Linked DNA regions of Sus scrofa. The protein of the gene in region 2 interacts with the protein of the main gene of each other region in a pairwise test. Links are inferred from orthologs where the notes say so. Each region holds a gene or a part of one and is shown on either strand. Other genes may lie near its edges.

Region 1 (9,744 bases), about 39 Mb from region 2:
CCTGAGGACCTTCCGTGGGGGGCGTGCGGCCCGTGCTGGGGGTCACCTGGCCTGCGCCAGCGCTCCTGGCCTCTAGGGGGCTGGGTGCAGGGACCTGCCTTTTTAACCAAAAGAAGTGGGGTTCCCTCCCAGGTGGCAACTGTGGGGTCACATGCCTGCCCCTCCCATTGCCACCAGTGCCCCAGACGCGTTGCAGGGATAGTTAAAAATCAGCGCTCTTGTAATCAGACTTCCACTCTTACCGGAAATGCCAACGCCGCGTTTGGTTTACAGAAAGATGTCTGTCTCGGGGGCCCCGTCGTGGCGCAGCGGAAACAAATCCGACTAGGACCCATGAGGTTGACGGTTCAATCCCTGGCCTCGCTCAGCGGGTGAAGGATCCGGCGTTGCCGTGAGCTGTGGTGTAGGCCGCAGACACGGCTCAGATCCTGCGTTGCGGTGGCTGTGGTGGACCCCTAGCCTGGGAACCTCCATATGCCGAGGGGGCGGCCCTAAGAAGCCAAAAAAACAAAAAGGTCTCTTTCTCCACCAACATGAGACTAAACAGGACCCTATTTAGTGGGAATCTGCAGCTTTGAGATTAGAGTGTAAAACCTCCCGTTTTTCCACTGAGGAGAAAAGCCCACCTTCAAAGGATAGAAACCTGGCAACCACCTGGAATGTTCCAGGGATGTTCTCTGACCCCCCGGCACAGTGGCGCCTGGTTAGAGTTTGGAAGGCCCCCCATCGGGGGCTGCCTGGCAGGCTGCTGCTCACAGCCCAGGTCCTGACCTCACCAGGAGGCCTCACTCCGGGACACCCCGCCCTGCGCACGCCCTCGGGGCGGGGCGGCCTCGGTGCCGAGGAGGCTGCCTGCTCATCCGTGATGAGATGGTCAGGAGAAAGGTTAGGTTAGGAGCGGACATTTGGGGCTCAGAGGTTCACCCCAGAAGTCACCCCGTCCTGTCCTCCTGGGTCCGAGGTCCTGCGGGGGCGCAGAGCTCTGGAGGCAGCCTCCACCAACTGAGGCCTCAGGGTGGGCCGCAGGGCCGGCTGGGAAGCTGGGGAGGACCTTCCCGGCCCGGGAGGCGGCCTGTGCAAAGGCCTGCAGGACAGGTGCCTTCCAAGAGGCCTCTCGGTTCCGACCCGGCGGGAGCTCTGGAGCTGCGTTAGAAGGGGCTGGAGCGGAGGGAGGCGGTGGGGATGGAGACGAGGGACGAGCGGGACCCGGGGCCAAAGGGAGGGCCCTGCCCGGGGGGTGGGGGGGCTGCTCGTCCCGCCCCGGCTTAACTCGCGCCGCACGATGGCTCAGTGCCGGGACCTGGAGAACCACCACCACGAGAAGCTCCTGGAGGCCGCCATCAACACCCTGGAGAAGACGGTCAAGGGCGAGCTGGACGAGGACCTGCCCGACGACGTGCGGGCGGTGAGCGCGGGGGCGAGCGGGGGGCGGCGGCACTCAGCGGTCAGAAGCACTGCTGGGGTCTCTGGCCCAGCACCCCAGGGAGGAGCGCTCAGGCCCCGGGTCTCCTGCGCTGAGGTCCAGCAGCAGGTGTGCCATGCTCTGGGAAGGGCGCCCCTTTCCTTCCTTCGCCACTGACACCCCCAGGGCCAATGGGTCAAGCCCCACCGCCCCTGGCGGCACCACTGGCCTTCCCGCCCTCCAGGCAGCGGCCCCAGACCCTCTGAAAGGCCAAACCCGGCCATCGTGGGCTTGTGCACAACCCGCCCTTGGGGCTTTCTCTTAGCTGCCGTCCCCCAGGCGCACTTGTCCCCAGGCCGCCTGTGTGTGGCCCTCCTCGCTCAGACCTCAGCTCCCTGTCAGCTCCGTGGAGACGCCCACCGTCTCCATCGCAGGCCGGTTATCCCTGCCAGGGCCCTGGCACGGGTCCACGCTGTTGTCAGTGACTTGCCTGGGCAACCCTGGAAGCCAAGGACACGTCTCACCACCACGCACGCCCAGTATCTGAGCTCCTGGCAGACTCACGTGGTCAGGGGCCCCCGTGTCACCTCCTTCCTTCCCAAACACCAGCAGACACTGTGTCCGCCAGACACCGGCAAGTGTCATCATGCCGGGCAGCCCCCAAGAGCCATGCTGGAGCCCCCAACGGACGGTCCACGGGCCACGAGTTCTTTGGGACTCTGCTCCCGGGTCTGGGTCACACACAAAGGGGCCACCTCCCCCTGCCAGGACGGCTCTGCCCTGCGCCACCTGATGCCTGTTTGTGTGGCCCTGGGACACTCGGGCTGCTGGCTGGCTGGGGCTAGCAACAGAAGCCCACTCTCTGGGGCTCGTGCGGACAAGTTAACTCCCAAAGGACCCTTGGGGGGTAGCTCTGTTACACACTCTGGTCTGCAAACAGGACGCTGGGGAGGGGGCCTCAGAGACGATGCTGCTTGAGGACCTGGCTTCAAACCCGGGCACTCCTGCCCTCTCGAGTCCTGCGGTGCCCTGGGAGGGTTCGGGGGACCAAGGCGCACAGCCAGCCTCGCTCCCCAGGTGCCCTCAACATCCACTAGCTGCAACACGGGGTCCGGGCAACAGGAGACCTGCGGGTCCAGGAGGGTGCACTCGAGTGACAGAGCGGGACTGGGCCAGCAGCCAGGTCACCCGCTGCTCCTCCCGTGGGCTGTGCCGGCCAGCATGCCTGGCCTCCGAGCGCAGTGCAGACAGGCCTTCCCCTGGAAAGAAGTCTGTGGCCAGGAAAGTGGGCAACTGTGAGACGAGGTTGAAAGCCTGTTTTCCACGTGAATTCCCAGAACCTTCTCTGGAAAAACGCTTTGAGCCAAGAACATCACATCGGAAGGGTCCTGGGGGGGTGTGGCTCGCCCAGGTGCAGCCAAGCACGGAGTACTCTGCCGGCGGAGAAACTAACCCTCGAGATCCACCGCCCGTATTTTGGAGACTGTTAGGGTGGCCACTCCAGCAAGCCCGCCTGCACCTCTGCCCCGCCCTCCTGCAGGTGTAAGCTGGCAGGTGCTTCGCTGTCCCCTCCCCGCAAAGCGGAAGCGGCCGCTGGCAAAGGCTCCGGCAGCGCTCCCTGCTCTGGACTCTGGGCTGTCGGGGCAAGTGGCCTGTGCACAGCACATGAACACACCTGGACCGGCCAGGCCTGGCGGGGGGTCGCTCCCCGCAGTGTCCCACGCGGTGTAGGACTCGGGGGGAGCAAGAAGGCAGGAGCCCAAGGGGGCCCAGGTCTGACAGGGGTGACTCCATCCGTTTGGGGGCCCTCCATCCTCAGAGCAGCCTCAGTCCCTCGACCAGCCTCATGCGGCCCACCAAGTGGGCGGGTCTCAGGCGTGTCGGGCTTGAGAACCTCGGGGAGGTCCCCCTGGGCCCTCTCCTGGCGTGGGCACCAGAAATGAGCCAGAGGAAGTGGGAACGCAGGGTGGGCGCCACTTCCCCTGGTGGGGGCCCCTTTCCCTCTGGCTCTGGCGGCCTCTGACCCGGGCAGCGGAAGCCAGACCGACTCTCGCGCCCTGTCCCGCTCCTCCCCAGCTCTTTGTCGACAAAGACACGCTGGTCAATGCGGTCGGGGCGTCGCACGACGTCCACCTCCTCAAGATCGACAGTCGGGAGGACGAGCTGGTGACCAAGGTCCACGCCTGGTGCACACACCTGCTGGACCAAGTGAGTGACCACCCGCGAGGTGCACCTGGGGGCGGGGCGGGCGGGCGGGGGGGGGGACTGCGAGGTCAGGGACCCGCGGCCTCGCCGCAGATCCACAGGGACGAGATCGCGAGGAACCGCAAGCGCGTGAAGGAGATCAGCCAGTACGCGGACCACGCGCAGAGGGAGCTGGACGCCCTGGAGTGCGCCGAGCTCCTGGACTAGGGCGGCAGCCCCGCGCCCTCTCCAGACGGAGAGAAGAATAAAGGCCTCTGCGGCACCTCTCCCCGCCTCCGTGCCCCCGTCGAGCAGTGGGTGTCTGCTGAGGGGGACTGCCAGGCCGCCGCCGCCGCCCCCGCTGCCGCCGCCGCCCTGGGGGAGGCTGTCACATCCCCCCCCACCCCCACCACTGGTGCCGCTCCCAGCGTCCCCCCCCCCCGAGCACGGGCGGGGGTGCGGTTCCAAGAGCCTCTGCGCCTGAAGCTTGCAGATGGACCCTGCTTCCCGCCCGCCCTCGGGGCCTGCAAGGCGGCCGTGCGGGGAGGGCCTCAGGGCTCCCTGAACAGGACACGTGCAGGTCAGGCGGCCTCGCTTAGGCTTTTCACCCAGAAACAAGGAAGACTGCCTACTTCCAGGGTTCATCATTTTTGCTAAGACTGGGGACACAAGCAGGTTGGACCAAGAAGGACTCACGTTGGAAAGATCGTTTGATTAAAAACCAAGAAAAAAGAAAAGCCTTGGGGCTGAGGGCTGCGCAGTGAGCCCTGCGGGGAGGCGGGACGAGGGGCGCGGACTCTGGGCCCCAGCACTTCCAGGGGACTGACGTGTAAGGACAGGAGTCTCTCGAGCTCGCAGCCTCACCCCTGCAGGAGCTTGTGCTTGACCGTCGTGCTCTCGGAGCAGAGGTGGACGAAGAGGGCGCCCGCGGCCGTGCGCGCCCGCAGCTCCCGCAGCTCATAGTCGTGGGCCCACTCGATGCTGCCCCACTTCTGCATCTGAGGGGAGGACGGGTCAGGCCGCTGGGTGATGGGCCAGAGCTGCGTTCCCTCATGGCTGGGCTGAGGGTGGAGGCTCCGATCTCATCCCAACACACGAGACACGGGGGAGTGGTGGTTGGGCGGGCACAGCAGGTGGGCAAAGCCGGCACTGCACTGGGGCACGGGTGCGGGCGGGGACCGGGGGGACCCACTGCTGGGTGGGCCAGGCGCCCACTGCAGGTGCATCTCCCTGAACGCCGGCCCCTCCTGCAGGGGGCTGCTTCACTCACGCACTGCCTCCCCCAGTCGGGCCACCGAGTGGGTGTGATAAATAAGCCAGCCAGGGCCACGCCGTCGCTTCGGCCCTGACTCCTGGGGAAGCCGATCCTGCAGAGGCCCCTCGGGCCTGCACGCTGAGGGCTGCAGACTCTCCCTAGGACTCAGAGGCCCGGACAGGGAACTCAGGATCTGCCTTGCCTGCATCCTGGGCGGCCCAGAGCAGCACCTTACACTCTCAGAGAAGTGTTTTGTGGGATGGAGCCTGAGGCTCAGAGAATGAAAGCCTGGCTTGGGTCTCGCAGCCAAAAACTGGGCCTGGACAGGAGCCAGGGTTCCCGACACCGCCCCCCCCGCCCCACAGTCGTCGACCCCAGCTCGCCCTCTTCCCACCAACCTCCCTGACATCTGGGGAGCACCCAGCCTCACTCGCGACACGGAACGGCTTCTTCCCCTGGCATTTCTCTGAGCAAACGATGGGACCAGCGTGGGAAATACTGTCATCATGAAAGGGTTTTCCCCCCGCTAGGGGCCATGTGGAACTGCAATTAGCCTTGGGAAGCTGGAGAGGGGACGAGGGGACCGCAGACAACGCCGTCCAGATTCCGGGTCAGAAACTGCAAGCTCAGCGCAGCAGAGCCCACAAAACCAAACCTGGGACGATGGCAGCCACCTGCCCAGCCTGCAGGTGGCCCTGTGCACACGGCCGGCACCCAGGCTCAGCCTCCACAAGCACGGATGGGGCTCCTGGTCATTTTAGGGGACCACATTCCTCCTCCATTGCAGAGGGGGCGCCAAGCCAGCCTCCACCGACTTATGGGGAGCGAGCGGGGCCTCCGGCTCCCCCTGTGTGAGGCAGGCAAACAGGAGCCCCCAGGCGGCCAGGTGCTGAGAGGAGGCGGTGAGGCCAGGAGGGAGGCCGAGCTCCCTGCCATGGTGCATGATGGACAATGCCTTTCTCAGCCCCTGGAGTTCGGTTTCCACGCGAGCTCGGAAGCGCGTGGGGCAGCTTTACTGCAACGCGCTTCAGTGCGTCTGAACGGGGGCACCCAAGTCTCGCACCCACCTGGTACTCCTCCTCCAGGCGCGACAGCAGCACGGCCCGCTCCACCGTCAGGTACAGGTCGATCAGGCCCAAGGTCAGCACCATGGACTTGAGCTGGGTCACCACAAACTCGATCCCTTCAGGGACACAGGCCAGGTCAGGACATGGGGCGCCTCACCCTGCAGAGGGCGTCACCACATCGCTCCCTGCGAGTCCCTGAGCCCCAGTGAGGGGGGTGTGTGTGGGACGCTTCCCCACACTTCTCCAGGGGCGTCTGCTCCACCCCCAAGACCCCAGCACCACGTACCTTGTAGGGCCCACATGTTATAAGACGCCAGGTGGCTGACCAGTGCCTCTCGAGTCCGGGCGGGGATGCTGGGCCCCAGGATGCTGGTGGAGGAGCTGATCTCCACGCCGTACCTGAAAGGAAGAGGCGTCGCGTGTCCCTGTCCCACTGGGAGGCCGGCTCCCGCCTGGGCCCAAAGTCCTGGCCTGCGGCACACCTGGTCCAGGGCCCCGTCGGGGATTCTGGGAGCAGCTGGCCTGGCAGTCGGTGGCCCCCTGACCCAGTAATTTCCTGTCTCCCAAGAACAAAGCCAGAGGAGGAGACGTGGCCCTGGAAGATACAGGGCTGGCACGCAAGGGAGCAGGGCTCACGCCGAGCCGCCCAAGGACCTCACTCCTTTGCCCGAACGCCCATCAGAACCCTGGCCTACCCGCTTCCTAACCTTTTAAGAAAGTTTTTCACCTTGGAGCTATAAAGGACTTTGTTTTCCGTTTTTGGCCAGGCTGAAGCACATGGAGTTGCTGGGCCAGGGATCAGATCTGAGCCACAGTCAGGACCCAAGCTGCGGCTGTGGCTATGCCGGATCCTTACCCACTGTGCCCGGCTGGGGATGGAACCTGGGTCCCAGCACTCGTGCTCAATAGCAGACGCACCATAAACAACTTTTTTTTTGGTCTTTTGAGGGCCTCACCCACGGCATATAAACGTTCCCAGGCTAGGGGTCCAATCAGAGCTGTAGCTGCCGGCACAATCCACAGCCACAGCAATGCTGGATCCCAGTTGCGTCTGCGACCTACACCACAGCTCACAGCAACGCCAGATCCTTAACCCACTGAGTGAGGCCAGGGATCGAACCCGTGTCCTCATGGATCCGAGTCTTGGGTTTTTAACTGCTAAGCCATGATGGGAACTCCATGACTTCTTTTAAATATTATTTTCCTTACAAAAGTATGTGTACCTGTTCTCTGCCAATCACTTTTTCATGTATTTATTCGGCCTCTGCTACATGCATGGCATGGCTTTTGGTCTGGGATGTGAACTGGTTTCAGGAATGCTCTAACACGCTTTTATAAAACAAGAAAAATGTAACAGAATAAAAGCAACTTTTATAATTTTTCTACATACATCATAGATTTTTTCCATTGGTTCAGAAACATTCTTCCTGAAATTTCTAACAGCACAAAAGGAACACAGGAAGTGGCCATGTTTTCCTTGCTAAGGATAAGAAATCTCAAGTGCCAGAAAAAGCCCTCTGCTGAGAGCGCAGCAAAGGCTCGTGGCTGCTGTCAGGCCCTCACGGTCTGGCGAGGGGTCTGGCGCCAGGTTTTCTCTGATCCTTGGCCGCACTGGCTCCACCTCTTGCCACAAAGCCAAGGGCACTGACACGTCGTGGGCACTCGGGAAGTGTGTACAGATCAGAAACACTCCGCGAACCACTCCCCGTGGCAGAGAGACAGGGTGGGGCCTGTCCCCACCCCTGGAACAAAGCGAAACTGAGTTAACTTTGCCACCACACCAACAAGCTCTTCCGCCTGGCACAAGAGTCTCCTGCTGGGGAGTTCCCATCACGGCTCATGGGTTAACTGACTCGCATCCGGGAGGCTGCAGGTTCCATTCCTGGCCTTGCCCAGTGGGTTGAGGATCTGGTGCTGTTATGAGCTGTGGTGTAGGTTGCAGCTGCCGCTTGGATCCCGACTTGCTGTGGCTGTGGTGTAGGCTGGCAGTTACAGCTCCGATTCGACCCCTGGTCGGGGAAACCCGCAGCCTTAAAAAGCCAAAAAAAAAGCGTCTCCTGCTGAGGAAAAAGCCGGGGCAGCATGAGCCCCAGGCCCTACACAGTCGGTCGCGCCGCCAGGCTCCTCTCTGTGTGTCTACGTCACACACGCTGCTCCGTGACTCAGGCGCGCAGCAGCTGTGACAAGGATCAGGACGGCAGCTGGCGGTGGGGCGTTCGCCACGTGCTGGAAGGAGGCGTGCTGTGGTTACTCCTGACAACACCCTGGGAGGCAGGGGCTGTGAGCCCCCCGCATCGACAAGGAAGCTCAGAGAGATCCAGTCACCAGCCCAAGGTCACACAGCCAACAGCGGCAGAAGCACGGCGCAGCCCTGTCCCCAAGGTGGCGCAGCCCTGTCCCCAAGTCCCCTGGGCCTGCCAAGTGGCTCACCTCCTCTCGGCCCAGGCGATCACCGGGTCCCACTCGTTCCTCTGCAGCTCCACCAGCGTCTCCGGCTCTTCCACCCTGTAGCTAATTCAGTGCAAAGGGTACCCCGTTCATAAAAAAGCATGACCTTCATCCAGTGGCAGCATAAACCTGCCCCCGCCCCCGCCCCCAGGTCTGCCCCCAGGGCAGTGGTTCTGCAGGTGTAGCCTGGGCTCACCGGGGACCTCACTGGAGATGCACAGGTGTGGAGAGCAGCGCCACATGTGCACAAGCCCTTGGGGCTTCTGCCGTAAGCTGCCCCGAATGTCACTAGTTCCCTGCAGGTCAAGGCCTGCGGCACTGCCCCTGGTCCCCGAGCTCCGACCCCACGTCCCTGCTGACCCTCCCCTTCTGAGAGGCAGTGCCCTGGCCAGACTGCGCTGCCCGCCCCTCACGAGCCCACCCGCCTCCCAGCTACAGATGCCACCTGATGCCAGGCTGCACCACGGGAGGCAGGGTGAGCCGAGGGAGCCGCGGGCAAGGCCTCCCGGGATAGGAACCTGCATGGGTGCAGGGGAGGCCAGGCTGGCGTGAGTAGAAGGGGGCAGAGAGGTGGCCTCCAGGGCAGAGGGAGGCACTCCCACCCTCCAGTGCCAGCAGGGCGCCGGGACCGTTCCCCAGAAAAGTGCTTTCCTGAGTGAGGCTGGGAGGGTTCCGTTCCCTGTAATCAAAAGGTCCCTAGTACACAGAGTTCCCGTCGTGGCACAGCGGAAACAAATCCAACTAGGAACCATGAGGTTGCGGGTTCGATCCCTGGCCTCGCTCAATGGGTTAAGGATCCAGCACTGCCATGAGCTGTGGTGTGGGTCGCAGACAAGGCTTGGATCTAGCATGGCTAAGGCTGTGGCATAGGCCGGCAGCTACAGCTCTGATTGAACCCCTAGCCTGGAAACTTCCGTATGCCGAGGGTGTGGCCCTTAAAAAAAAAAAAAAAAGGTCCCCAGCACAAATGGAGCCAGCTTTCCCAAGTCACTGAGGGCCGGCAGCCTCTCCAGGAGGACCTCTGCCCTGCCCAGTGTGGCTTTCAGGAGCCACCTGGGAGGTAATTCGGGACCCCCAGGCGTTCAGGTGGCACCCGGAGCTGCTCGGCTAAGTCCTCCGCTCGCTGTCAACACCACTGACCAGCTGGCTAAAGGCCACAGCGTGAGGGGAGCAGCAGACGTGGAGGAGGCCGGCTCAGCCCACCTGCTCCGGCTGACAAGTGACGAGGAGGCCGCCAGGGTCAGAGGCCCCACTGGGCAAGGACCCCCCAGGTCCTCAAGCCTGCAGGAGCCACATGCGCCCCCGGGCCAGGGGCTGCTGCCGGGCTCCTCCGTGTCCAGGCGGTGAAGGGCCTGCCTCTTCCTCCACTGAGAAGGTCCCGGGTGAAG
Region 2 (10,844 bases):
AGAGTTTTAAATGAATACATAATATGTGATGATAAAGACTGGAAAAATAGCGTATTTCCCCATATTAATGTAATTTTGATCTTCAGAAGTACCCAGACTAAACTAATACAATATTCCATATCGATGACACATCGATTAAAAATTAGATAATTTTTTAAAGACCCAAAAGCTAAAAGAGAGTTACTGAAACGAGGTTCTTCTCTTTAAAACAAGAATACTTCATCAGACCAACGGGTCATGAGAATAAAAACTGAGCAGCACCAGAGAAGAGACCTACATACTACAGGCACACATCACGCATATTCCCGTCAGGGCTGGTGTTGGAATTATAATAGCAGAAGCCTTCAGTGATACCTCATAAAGCTTGTGTTCCAGTGACAAATAGCAAGAGTAATCAGTTCCGATTTAGCAATGAACTCAAATAAAGGTTAATTAGGAAACTAGAGACTCTTTACAAGCCTCTAAATGTCAAACCAATCAAAGGATAATGGGTGCACTAACACAAACAAGAACCAGGAAAGAAGCCTTCTGGTTGGACCAACACCCACTGGAGAGGATATATAAGAGCTCCAGAGCAAAAGAGAGACATTCACATCTCAGAAGAAGTCCCAGCTTTCTTTAAATCAAACCGATCAAAAACACAGTTTCCCAACACCATGGCCTGCTGTGTTGCCCGATGCTGCAGCGTCCCCACCGGCCCCGCCACCACCATCTGCTCCTCTGACAAATTCTGCCGGTGTGGAGTCTGCCTGCCCAGCACCTGCCCCCACACGACTTGGCTATTGGAGCCAATCTGCTGTGACAACTGCCCCCCACCCTGCCACATCCCTCAGCCCTGTGTGCCCACCTGCTTCCTGCTCAACTCCTCCCAGCCCACCCCTGGCCTGGAGACCCTCAATCTTACAACCTACGTTCAGCCCGGCGGCAGTGAGCCCTGCATCCCAAGATGCTGCTGAGTGATGACTGCTTTGCTCGGAGCCTGATGTGGAACGAGTCAACCCAGAAGCTCTAGTATTCACCTGTCTCGGTACCTGCAACAAATGTGGCTCCACTTTCAATGCTGGAACAAGGATGGCACTCTCATTGACAACCTCCATAAAAAAGAAACCAAGAGATTTTCAATGGCCATGGATCAGAGATCAGTAAACTAGGGCAATTGGAATAGGTGGATGCTCATAGACTTGCCAAAGTTGCTTGATTCCTTCATGTGAAAGTGTATCTTTCTTTGGGTGCTTTGGGAATTCTGTTTCCAGTCTTGAATGGTATCTTTCTGGAAATTGAGGAACTTCTTCATGATTATCCTAATAAATTTTACATCTCTGGCATAGCACAAATGTCTATAGTTACTTCTGTTTATTTTTGTTAATTCATTGAGTGTATTTCTTGAATCCAAAGGTCTGCATTTTAAGAAATGAGAACATCTGAAAAATCGAAAAGGGTGCTTTTATTGTTCTTGTTGTTTCAAGAAACCTAAATGGCTTTGCATATAAAATGGTCCAGTATATCGGCATAGCTTCTCTGACTTTCTGCCCCAAAAATGGTTTAAGGTAAGACCAAATATGAAATAATAAATCAACTAACCCAGATGTGCCTGATCTGTTTTTGCAAAAAAATAAAATAATAATAACAATATCATCCATTCAATAAGCATACTAAAAATCTATTTTATTGTCCCTGCTAAAAATAAGCTGACTGTCTGGAGGATGAGGCAGATACATACACAATACCCTCTCATTCCCTCATACAACTGATCATTATTAATTGAATGCCAGGCATGGTATTATGATAAAAATATAAGTGCTCTACCAGTAGCATTAATAAACTTCTGTGGTACCACAAAAGTGAGAACCATTAAGAAATCAAGATAGCTGCCCCAAAGATAAAGAAGAGAAAGACATAGTCAAGGACAAATTGACTGAAGCTGGAGATCAAAAGACTATGATAAAGAAGACGCTGCCAAAGAGAGACTGGGCAGTGGTGTTAGGTCACCAACTGAGCATGGGAGCAGAGAAGCAGGAAAGAATTAAAAGGGGAATACTGAGGTTTGCTGCAGACATGGCAAGACACAAGTGGCATATCTAAATGAAGTCCAGGCAGCTGGAATTTGCACAGTAGGGTTCTAGGAGGATGAGGTATGAGGGAAGGAGCAAAGGTCTATGGAAAAGATCTGCTCAAGTACTTGCAAAAGGCTGCGTTGCGTGCACACAGGATGAAATTCCAAGATGCTAGCATAGAATGGCTGCTGGGGGATAAAGAGCTGAGTGGAAATACAAGAAGTCATTCAAGTCTAAAAGACTTTGAAGTTCCAGGCTTTCTGGAGCAGGCAAAGCTCTTTGAGTCCCTTAGACATTCAGTCGTATTCCAGAAGAGTAAGGAGCCTTATGAAAAGAGTAAGGATCACAGTCCCGAGTAAAGAACACACTAAATTACACCTGTCCCAGAAAAAGCTAAACCCACGCCTAAGGATCAAGAGAAAAATGATATCTAACCTCTGCTCAGTCAAACCTCATCTTTAAGGTCCTGAAAGTGAAAAAAAGTGTTAATCAGAATTCTAATACCTTGCAAAATAGCCTTCAAAACTTGAAAGGAAAGCAAAAATATTTTTAGATAAACAACACTGATTAAAAATGTCTGAAGATTTATACTGTGAAAAACACTAAAGAATAGTCTTTTTCTTTAAAAGAATAATTATATCAAATGAAATCTCAGACCTACAGGAAGCATAAAAGAATCCTGGAGATGGTCAATTTAGCAGAACTGCAGAGACTGTATTGCCAAGTAACATATACTTTCTCCTGGATAATCAGCCCATGAAAAATACGCTGAAGATTTGAAAAGTCACTTCACAAAAGAAGATATCCAAATGGCCAATAAATACATGAAAAGTTGCTCGACATCATTAGTCAAAAGAATGTAAATTAAACTGTAACACTTAAACGTGACCCAAAAAATCATTTTAATTATAAATGTCTGACAATACCACATGTTGGTGAAGATACGGAGGAACTAAATCTCTCAAATGTTATTGTCAAGAATGTAAAATGGTATAATTATATTGGGGGAAAATCTAGTAACATCCTTTTTGTAAAATTGTTTGGCTGTGTCCACATTATGCAGAAGTTCCTGGGCCAGGAATTGAACCCATGCCACAGTAGTGACCTGAGCCTCAGCAGTGACAATGCCAGATCCTTAACCCCTGGAACCTATGGGTGGACAATCAAGACGTGGATTATTTTTTCAAAGAAACTTTTCCTTTGACTCTAGGTCACTGTGGGATCATAACTTTCCTGTGGATATTTATAACTTTCAAGTATGTTTTTGAAACTTTGAACTCATGTCCTTTGCAGAACTGCATCTTATACCATTGGCACACTAAGAATTTTAAGCACAAGTGTTGAAATATTAAGAGAACTACTAAAATCAAACCCAACTCTGCTCAGAGTTCCCACTGTGGCTCAGTGGTAATGAACCTGACTAGTCTCTGTGAGAATTTGGGTTCCATCTCTTGCCTCACTCAATGGGTTAAGTATCTGGCATTGCTGTGAGCTATGGTGCAGGTCGCACAGTCAGCTCGGATCCCACTTTGCTATGGCCGTGGCATAGACTGGCAGCTCTAGCTCTGATTCAACCCCTAGCCTGGGAACTTCCCTATGCCATCAGTGCGGCCCTAAAAAGAAAAAACCCAACTCTGCTCAATGAATAATAAGTCATAAGAGACTATTTTAATGCATTTATTTAAGATTTCTAGGTTTGGCTTTGGTTATTTGTTTATTTTTGCTATCAGCTACCTAAGGAAGTAGTGCTCAGAATTAGAAAAAAACTGTTTATTCTAAATCAAGAAAATATTAATGTTGTCAGAATAATTGTTTTTTTCCCATAAAGATTTTAAAGATTCTGCAGACAAATTATTCTGTACATTTTTAAGGAAATAAATATCACAATTAAAGCCAAGAAAAGTGAAAAGTGAAGATAAAATTTAAGAGAGAATCCTGAAAACTTACATCTCAAATACCTATCCATTTGGTACCACAAGAGATTTCATCCAATGGAACTGCTGGAACTCATAGAATTTTATTCATAAGTTCCAGTATCTTTAATTTTCATGCTCTTGGGAGCTTCAAGATTAAATAAATTAGTAAAAAAGAGAAAAGAGGCTCCATATCCCAGAAGAAAAGCCTGTTTCTTCCTTGCCCCTACTCTGAAATGTAATTTAATTAATGAGGGTTTAGTTTCCCAAGAAACTAAAAGATTATAAGAGAGTTTGTATTTCATTTCTATTAGAGATGCAGTTTAAAAAAAAAAAAAAAAAAAACCACCGTATCCCTGATAGGAAAACGAGGCATTAGAAATGTGGAGACGGCAATTTTCAGGAAATCAAAGATGACAACTTCAGGAGTTCCTGTCGTGGCGCAGTGGAAATAATCCAACTAGGAGCCATGAGGTTTCGGGTTTGATCCCTGGCCTCAGTCAATGGGTTAAGGATCCAGTGTTGCTGTGAGCTGTGGTGCAGGTCACAGATGTGCCTTGGATCTGGCTTGTCTGAGGCTGTGGCGTAGGCCAGCAGCTACAGCTCCAACGGGACCCCTAGCCTGGGAACCTCCCCATGCCATAGGTGTGGCCCTAAAAAAGAAAAAAAAAAAATCAAATGATCACAACCCCATAACTTGATAACCAATTTATATTTTCGGACTGGAGGGCAAAAATTAAGCCCATCCATTATGTAAAGTGACTTGTCAATTTGCACCCAAGTAGGTATGGTTCACATACACACTTTAAACCCAGTACACACCTCACTCCTTTACCATGTGAGCACGGCGAGACCACAGAAAGCATTGCAAGGACTGCAAACCACACAGGACACTTTTATGGTGGTGACACAAACAAACAAGGGGCGCTTAAATGAGTGATATCACTTATAAGTGGAATCTTAAAAAAGATGCAAATGAACATATTTGCAGAACAGAAACAGACTCACAGACTTTGAAAACAAACTTGTGGGTACCAAAGGGGATAAGTGGGGGCAGGGAGGGATGGACCAGGAGGTTGGGATGGGCAGATGCACCCTGAGGTATATGGAATGACTGGCCATCGGACACCTGCCATATAGCATAGCGAACTCTACCCGGTATTCTGTAATAATCCATGCGGGGAAAGAACCTGTAAGAGAATGGATGTGGGCACGTGTATAACTGAACCGCTTTGTTGTCCAGCAGAAATTATCACAACCTTGTAAGTCAACTCTACCTCAATAAAACCTTAAAAAAATGAAAAAATGACTTGTAATATTAATTTTAAAAGAAGACATAAACCATTTTCAAGGCACAGGCTCAAAATCTGTGGGAATATTATTTTCCTTATGCCCAATCAATTGTATCTATAATTACTGATTGGCCAAATTTTCCCTTTTCTTTCCTTATTTGGTCAAAAGGAAAGTATTTCCTATGAAGATTTTCTGAAAAAAAGCATTTTTATCCTCCCGGCACATGGCAACAGTGTCCTTATTTAGCAACTTGAAGTTATGCCTGTTTTATGAGGCATAAAACTCTTCTTCAGCAAATAAACAACACTAATGAGTGTTCATATGAAAACTGGCACCGGAAAACATCCGGTGCTTTGCGTGCTTTGCGTAAATACCCATTTGGGGGCTGATATAAAAGTCTCCGGAGAGAAGGAGACTTTTGGAGGCAGGCAGCTGGAGTTTTGCAACTAGTCTCTGCCCTTCTCGTCTGATAGGATGGCTTCTGACTGTTCCCCCTCCTGCTGCTCTTCTGCGTCGAGGGCCGGGGCTTCTGATGGCGCGATTGCTTCAACCGGTCCCGTGGACGCCACGTGTCTCCCCAGCGCCTGTGCCACCTCCAGATGCCACACTCCCAGGTCCTGTGCATCAGCTGGTTGCCTCAGGCCGCGCTGCTTGGCCGGGAGCTGCCACGCTCCGTGCCTGGTGGGGAACTGTGTCTGGGGTGAGGATGGCGCGTTCAACAGCAACGAGAAGGAGACGATGCAGTTCCTGAACGACAGACTCGCCAACTATCTGGAGAAGGTGCGCGGGCTGGAGGAGCTGAATGCGGAGCTGGAATGCAGGATCCGGGAACAGTGTGAAGAGGACGCCCCGTCGGTGTGCCCTGATTATCAGAGTTACTTCGACACCATTGAAGAGCTCCAACAAAAGGTCTCGTATTTCATCGCCCTGAAGTCCCACCTTCCCAGTCTGTGACTTGCTTTATTTTTGTTCTGCTAGAGGCTGTTCTGTGGCAGGATACCAGGGAAAGGGGAGGGACTTCTCAGAGGTAATGCGATGCAGAGGAAAGTCAGGAGGCCTCAGCACCAGCCCCTAGGCTGCCGCTAATTACTAAGTGATCATGATAAAATAATTGACCTCTAAATTTACCTTTATCAGCTAGGGAAGGAGGAACAACAGTGTTATATCGAGAAGGACTTCTGTGTGACACACTGTACGTGTACACATGTACGCGTTTTTTTTTCTTTTTTGTCCCGTCCCACCCCCGCACACGGAGTTCCTGGACTGGGGATCAGATCTGAGCTGCAGTTGTGACTTAACGCTGCAGGTGCAGAAAATGTGGGATCCTTATCCCACTGTGCTGGGCCAGGATCGAACTTTCGTTCTAGCAGTCCAGAGCCTCTGCTGAGCCCACTGAGCACAGCGGGAAATCCTGTATAGTATTTTTAACGCAGATATTGAAATGTCTTTTGGAAGGGGCATATCTGCAGCATGGAGAAGTTCCCGGGCCAGGGTTTGAACCCATGCCATGACAGTGACAATGCCAGATCCTTAACTGCTAGGCCACCAGGGAACTCCCAAAATGCCATCTTTTTAATCCTATAATTTCACCTAGTAATTATTTCCCTTTATTACTGATGAATTTTTTATTATCTTGGATGGTACTATAGTCGTAAAACAAACTACTTCTGGAGAAAAACCTAAGTGCCAAGGGATACTGCAAAATGTCTTAGGTTGGAGTTCCTGTTGTGGCTCATCAGGTTCACGTGACATGGTATCCATGAGGATGCAGGTTCAATCCCTTGCCTCACTCAGTGGGTCAAGGGTCTGGCATTGTCACAGCCTGGGTCACAGACGTGGCTTGGATCTACTCTTGAGGTGGCTGTGGTATTAGCCTAAAGATGCAGCTCCAGTTCGACCCCTGGCCCTGCCTTAGGTGTGACGGTTAAAAAAAAAAGTCTTGTGTCATTAAAAAACTAAACCTTTTTATTTCTCCATTTCATTTATAACTGGTGCTCCTTTTTTTCTTCACAAAGTGACACGGTTAATAAAAGCAGCCTGAAAGCTACTTTATATTTTCTTGTAAAACTTTAAAAGATAAGTGATGCCTTAGTGGTTAAACAAGTAGATACTTGGGTTTCTTTTCACAGAACCACTTATGACATAATATCTTGCTTCCCAGATCTTGTGTACGAAGGCAGAGAACTCAAGACTTGCTGTACAGCTTGACAACTGCAAACTGGCTGCCGATGACTTTAGGTCAAAGTAAGGTTAATTTGAATTGGAAAATAATTTACGGTTGCCTCTTTCTCTCCTTCTCTCACATAGCTCCACACACACCACTGGTATTCTCTACATAATATTTTTTAAGCCAGAAGTAATTGTGAAATTTCCTTCTGTTTTCATCTCTAAGCAAACCCTATAAAATATGTGCTATGAAAATGCTTCATTCTGTGTAAAGAAAACAGAAGAAAATTCCAACCCCCCTCCCCTCCAAAAATATATATATATAAAGCGAAGAATGCTCACGCAGCTTGAATTTTCATTATTTGGGGAGTAGAAGGAGTCACGATATGTGGGTTCCTTGGGTCCACGCGTCAGTCATTGGTAGGCCCAGCGCTTTGCGCAGTGTCCAGCGGGGTAAGCACCGGCTGTGTCTCTTGCTGTGAAAGGTACGATGCTGAGCTGTCCCTCCGCCAGCTGGTGGAGATGGACATTAGCGGCCTGCGTGGGATCCTGGGGGAGCTGAGCCTGTGCCAGTCTGACCTGGAAGCTCATGTGGAGTCTCTGAAGGATGATCTCCTTTGCCTTAAGAAAAACCATGAAGAGGTGAGGAAAAGGGCAAAATCCCTGAACGGCTCTAAGAGGGGCACAGTTAAACTGACAGAACCCGTGTTGTGTATATAGATTGGACTTGAGCAGATGTTGCTTAAGGTGGAAGAAAAGGACTCGAGGCACTATTACTCCCCAGCCTGATCATTCTGGTGTGTCTCTGAATGTAACGGAATTAACCCCTGGCCAGGGCCAGCTGGAGGAACCAAACCTTTCACCTGCCACTGCTTTTGTGGCCGAGGCAAACCCACACATGGTTTTCCTGGAGGCTTTCTGCTGCTCTTAACTCTAACCCATAAGGTGTGAAAAGCAGGCTGATCATTGCAGAATATAAAGGCCATTTCAAAAAGGAAATAGGAGTTCCCATTATGGCTCAGCAGGTTAGGAACCCGACTAGTATCCAGGAGGATTCAGGTCCGATCCCTGGCCTTGCTCAGTGGGTTAAGGATCCGGCATTGCTGCAAGCTGCAGTGTAGGTTGAAGATGCAGCTTGGATCCAGCATTGTGGTGGCTGTGGTGTAGGCCGACAGCTGCAGCTCCAATTGGATCCCTAGCCTGGGAACTTCCACACTGCAGGTGCATCCCTGAAAAAGAAAAAAAAAAGGCAATATAGACTCATGCAGTATTTGGACAAATACTTTTAAATATGCTGCATTTATAAACTTTTAAAAATCACTAAATGTGGAGTTTCCTGGTGGCCTGGCAATTAAATATGTAGCATTGTCACTGCTGTGGCTCTGGTCACTGCTATGGCACAGTTCAACCCCTGGCCCAGGAACTTCTGCATGCATTGGGCATGGCCAAAAAAAAAATCATTAAATGTGAAGTGTATACTTATCTCTTTTTTTTTTTTTTGTCTTTTGTCTTTTTTAGGGCCTCACCCTTGGCATATGGAGGTTCCCAGGTTAGGGGTCAAATCTGAGCTGTAGCTGCCAGCCTACACCACAGCCACAGCAATGCAGGATATGAGCTGCGTCTGTGACCTACACCACAGCTCATGACAACACTGGATCCTTAACCCACTGATCAAGGCCAGGGATTGAACCCTCATCCTCATGGATACTAATCAGGTTCATTAACCACTGAGCCACAGAGGAACTCCTACTTATCCCTTATTGATGATGCTAAAAAAAATGAAGAGCTGGATGACATAACAAAGTCTAACTTCCCCTTGAACATTTGTTGACGATAATAACAGCCGACACTGAGAACTTACTGGGCACCAATAAGTGTTGATAAGTGTTTTCTATGTCTCTTAACTCGTGTATCTCGCAATAACTCTCTGGTAAAGGTAAAAATCATACCCATTCCACAGGTGGAGAAACTGAGTGATGAAACCAGACTCAGGTTAGGCAGTCTGAATCTGATCCCCCACTTTTACCCACTACTCCCCAAACCAGAAATGGGATGCCTTTGGGGTGTCAAGTTGAATTTTTTTTCCCACCACTCTGATATTATTTACTCCATAATATCCACCCACAGGAGGTCAACGTGCTTCGTGAACAGCTGGGGGACCGACTCAGTGTGGAGCTAAACACTGCCCCCACCGTGGACCTCAACAAGGTCCTGGATGAGATGCGTGGTCAGTATGAAACCGTGCTCGCCAACAACCACAGAGACATGGAAGAATGGTTCGCCGTTCAGGTGAGCATCTGGAGCAGCAAAATGCCAGGCATCCCGATTGTGCCCTATTTGCCTTCTCTTAATCAGGCCTGTGTTACAGACGGAGGAGCTGAACCAGCAGCAGCTGTCCAGTGCAGAGCAGCTGCAGGGCTGCCAGACGGAGATGCTGGAACTGAAACGCACAGCCACTGCTCTGGAGATTGAACTTCAAGCACAGCAAAGCCTGGTGTGTAAGGGAAAGATAACTGTTTTGTCACTGAAGAGTCAGGCCTCGAGATAGTGTCCCCATAACCCAAAGGAGAGACCCACAGTTCATGGAGCAGAAGGTCTGAATTTCCAATGTGCAAGGATTGCATTTCCTTGCCTTTTTTTTCTTTTTTAAATAAATTTTGTTGGAATATAGTTGACTTACTATATTAGTGTGTTAGTTTCAGGTACACAGCAAAAGTGAAATATATATGGATATCTCCATAAGTGGAGATATATATATATATATATATATATATCCATTCTTTTTCAGATTCTTTCCCCACGTAGGCTATCAAAGAGTCCTGAATAGCCAGCGTTCCCTGTGCTATACAGTAGGTGCTTGTTACTTACTGATCTTGTGTATCGTAGTGTGTATATGCCAATCTCCCAGTTTATTCCCCCCGCGTTTTCCCTTTCACAACCCTAAGTTTGGCTTCAAAACCTTTGACTCCATTTCTATTTTGTGAATAAGTTCTCTTGTATCATTTTTAATGTGATTCACATATTAGTAATCTCTACCCTTGCCTGTTTCAAGTATGCTGTTTATGCAGCTAGAAGCAGAAGGGATAGGTCAGCAGCTTGCACTGCCCCACTAGGATGCCCTGACCTTCCCCCCCGGGGCTCAGGCATGATCCTGCGGCACCGTCCAGAGACAAGGAGGGAGAGGGAATGGGCAGGAGCAGAAAGAGGGGAACTTCTGAGTCAAAGGCACTCAAGAATTCCAATGGATTCCATCTCTCTTTTGATTCGGGCCAGTTTTCCAAGCCCCCCATCCCATCTGAAACACAGAGGTCCAGACTTGGCATTCTACAACTATTCTAAACTTTCCCAGGATCCACACCTCACCTGGACCCCTCCCTGCCTCCCACTCCACGCAAGCAAAAAGACTACCACGCATTCG

What was found.
Region 1: the proteins of KRT40 (region 2) and ATPAF2 interact in binary tests that used the Homo sapiens proteins (3 or more experiments, as listed by UniProt). The two-hybrid records come from large-scale screens. The link is inferred for Sus scrofa from reciprocal best matches to the Homo sapiens genes KRT40 and ATPAF2.

Annotation. Positions count from the first base shown.
Region 1 is NC_010454.4:60,627,745-60,637,488, reverse strand, and holds the end of ATPAF2 (ATP synthase mitochondrial F1 complex assembly factor 2), read right to left. Parts: intron 8,420-9,744; coding exon 8,339-8,419; intron 6,308-8,338; coding exon 6,195-6,307; intron 6,025-6,194; coding exon 5,909-6,024; intron 4,585-5,908; coding exon 4,447-4,584; 3' UTR 4,279-4,446; downstream 1-4,278. Other genes in the region: DRC3 (dynein regulatory complex subunit 3), read left to right, coding at 1,282-1,405, 3,479-3,610, 3,680-3,814. UniProt on the Homo sapiens protein: Plays a role in the assembly of the F1 component of the mitochondrial ATP synthase (ATPase).
Region 2 is NC_010454.4:21,476,164-21,487,007, forward strand, and holds the start of KRT40 (keratin, type I cytoskeletal 40), read left to right. Parts: upstream 1-4,561; 5' UTR 4,562-5,734; coding exon 5,735-6,169; intron 6,170-7,421; coding exon 7,422-7,504; intron 7,505-7,911; coding exon 7,912-8,068; intron 8,069-9,553; coding exon 9,554-9,715; intron 9,716-9,794; coding exon 9,795-9,920; intron 9,921-10,844. Other genes in the region: keratin-associated protein 3-2, read left to right, coding at 657-956. UniProt on the Homo sapiens protein: May play a role in late hair differentiation.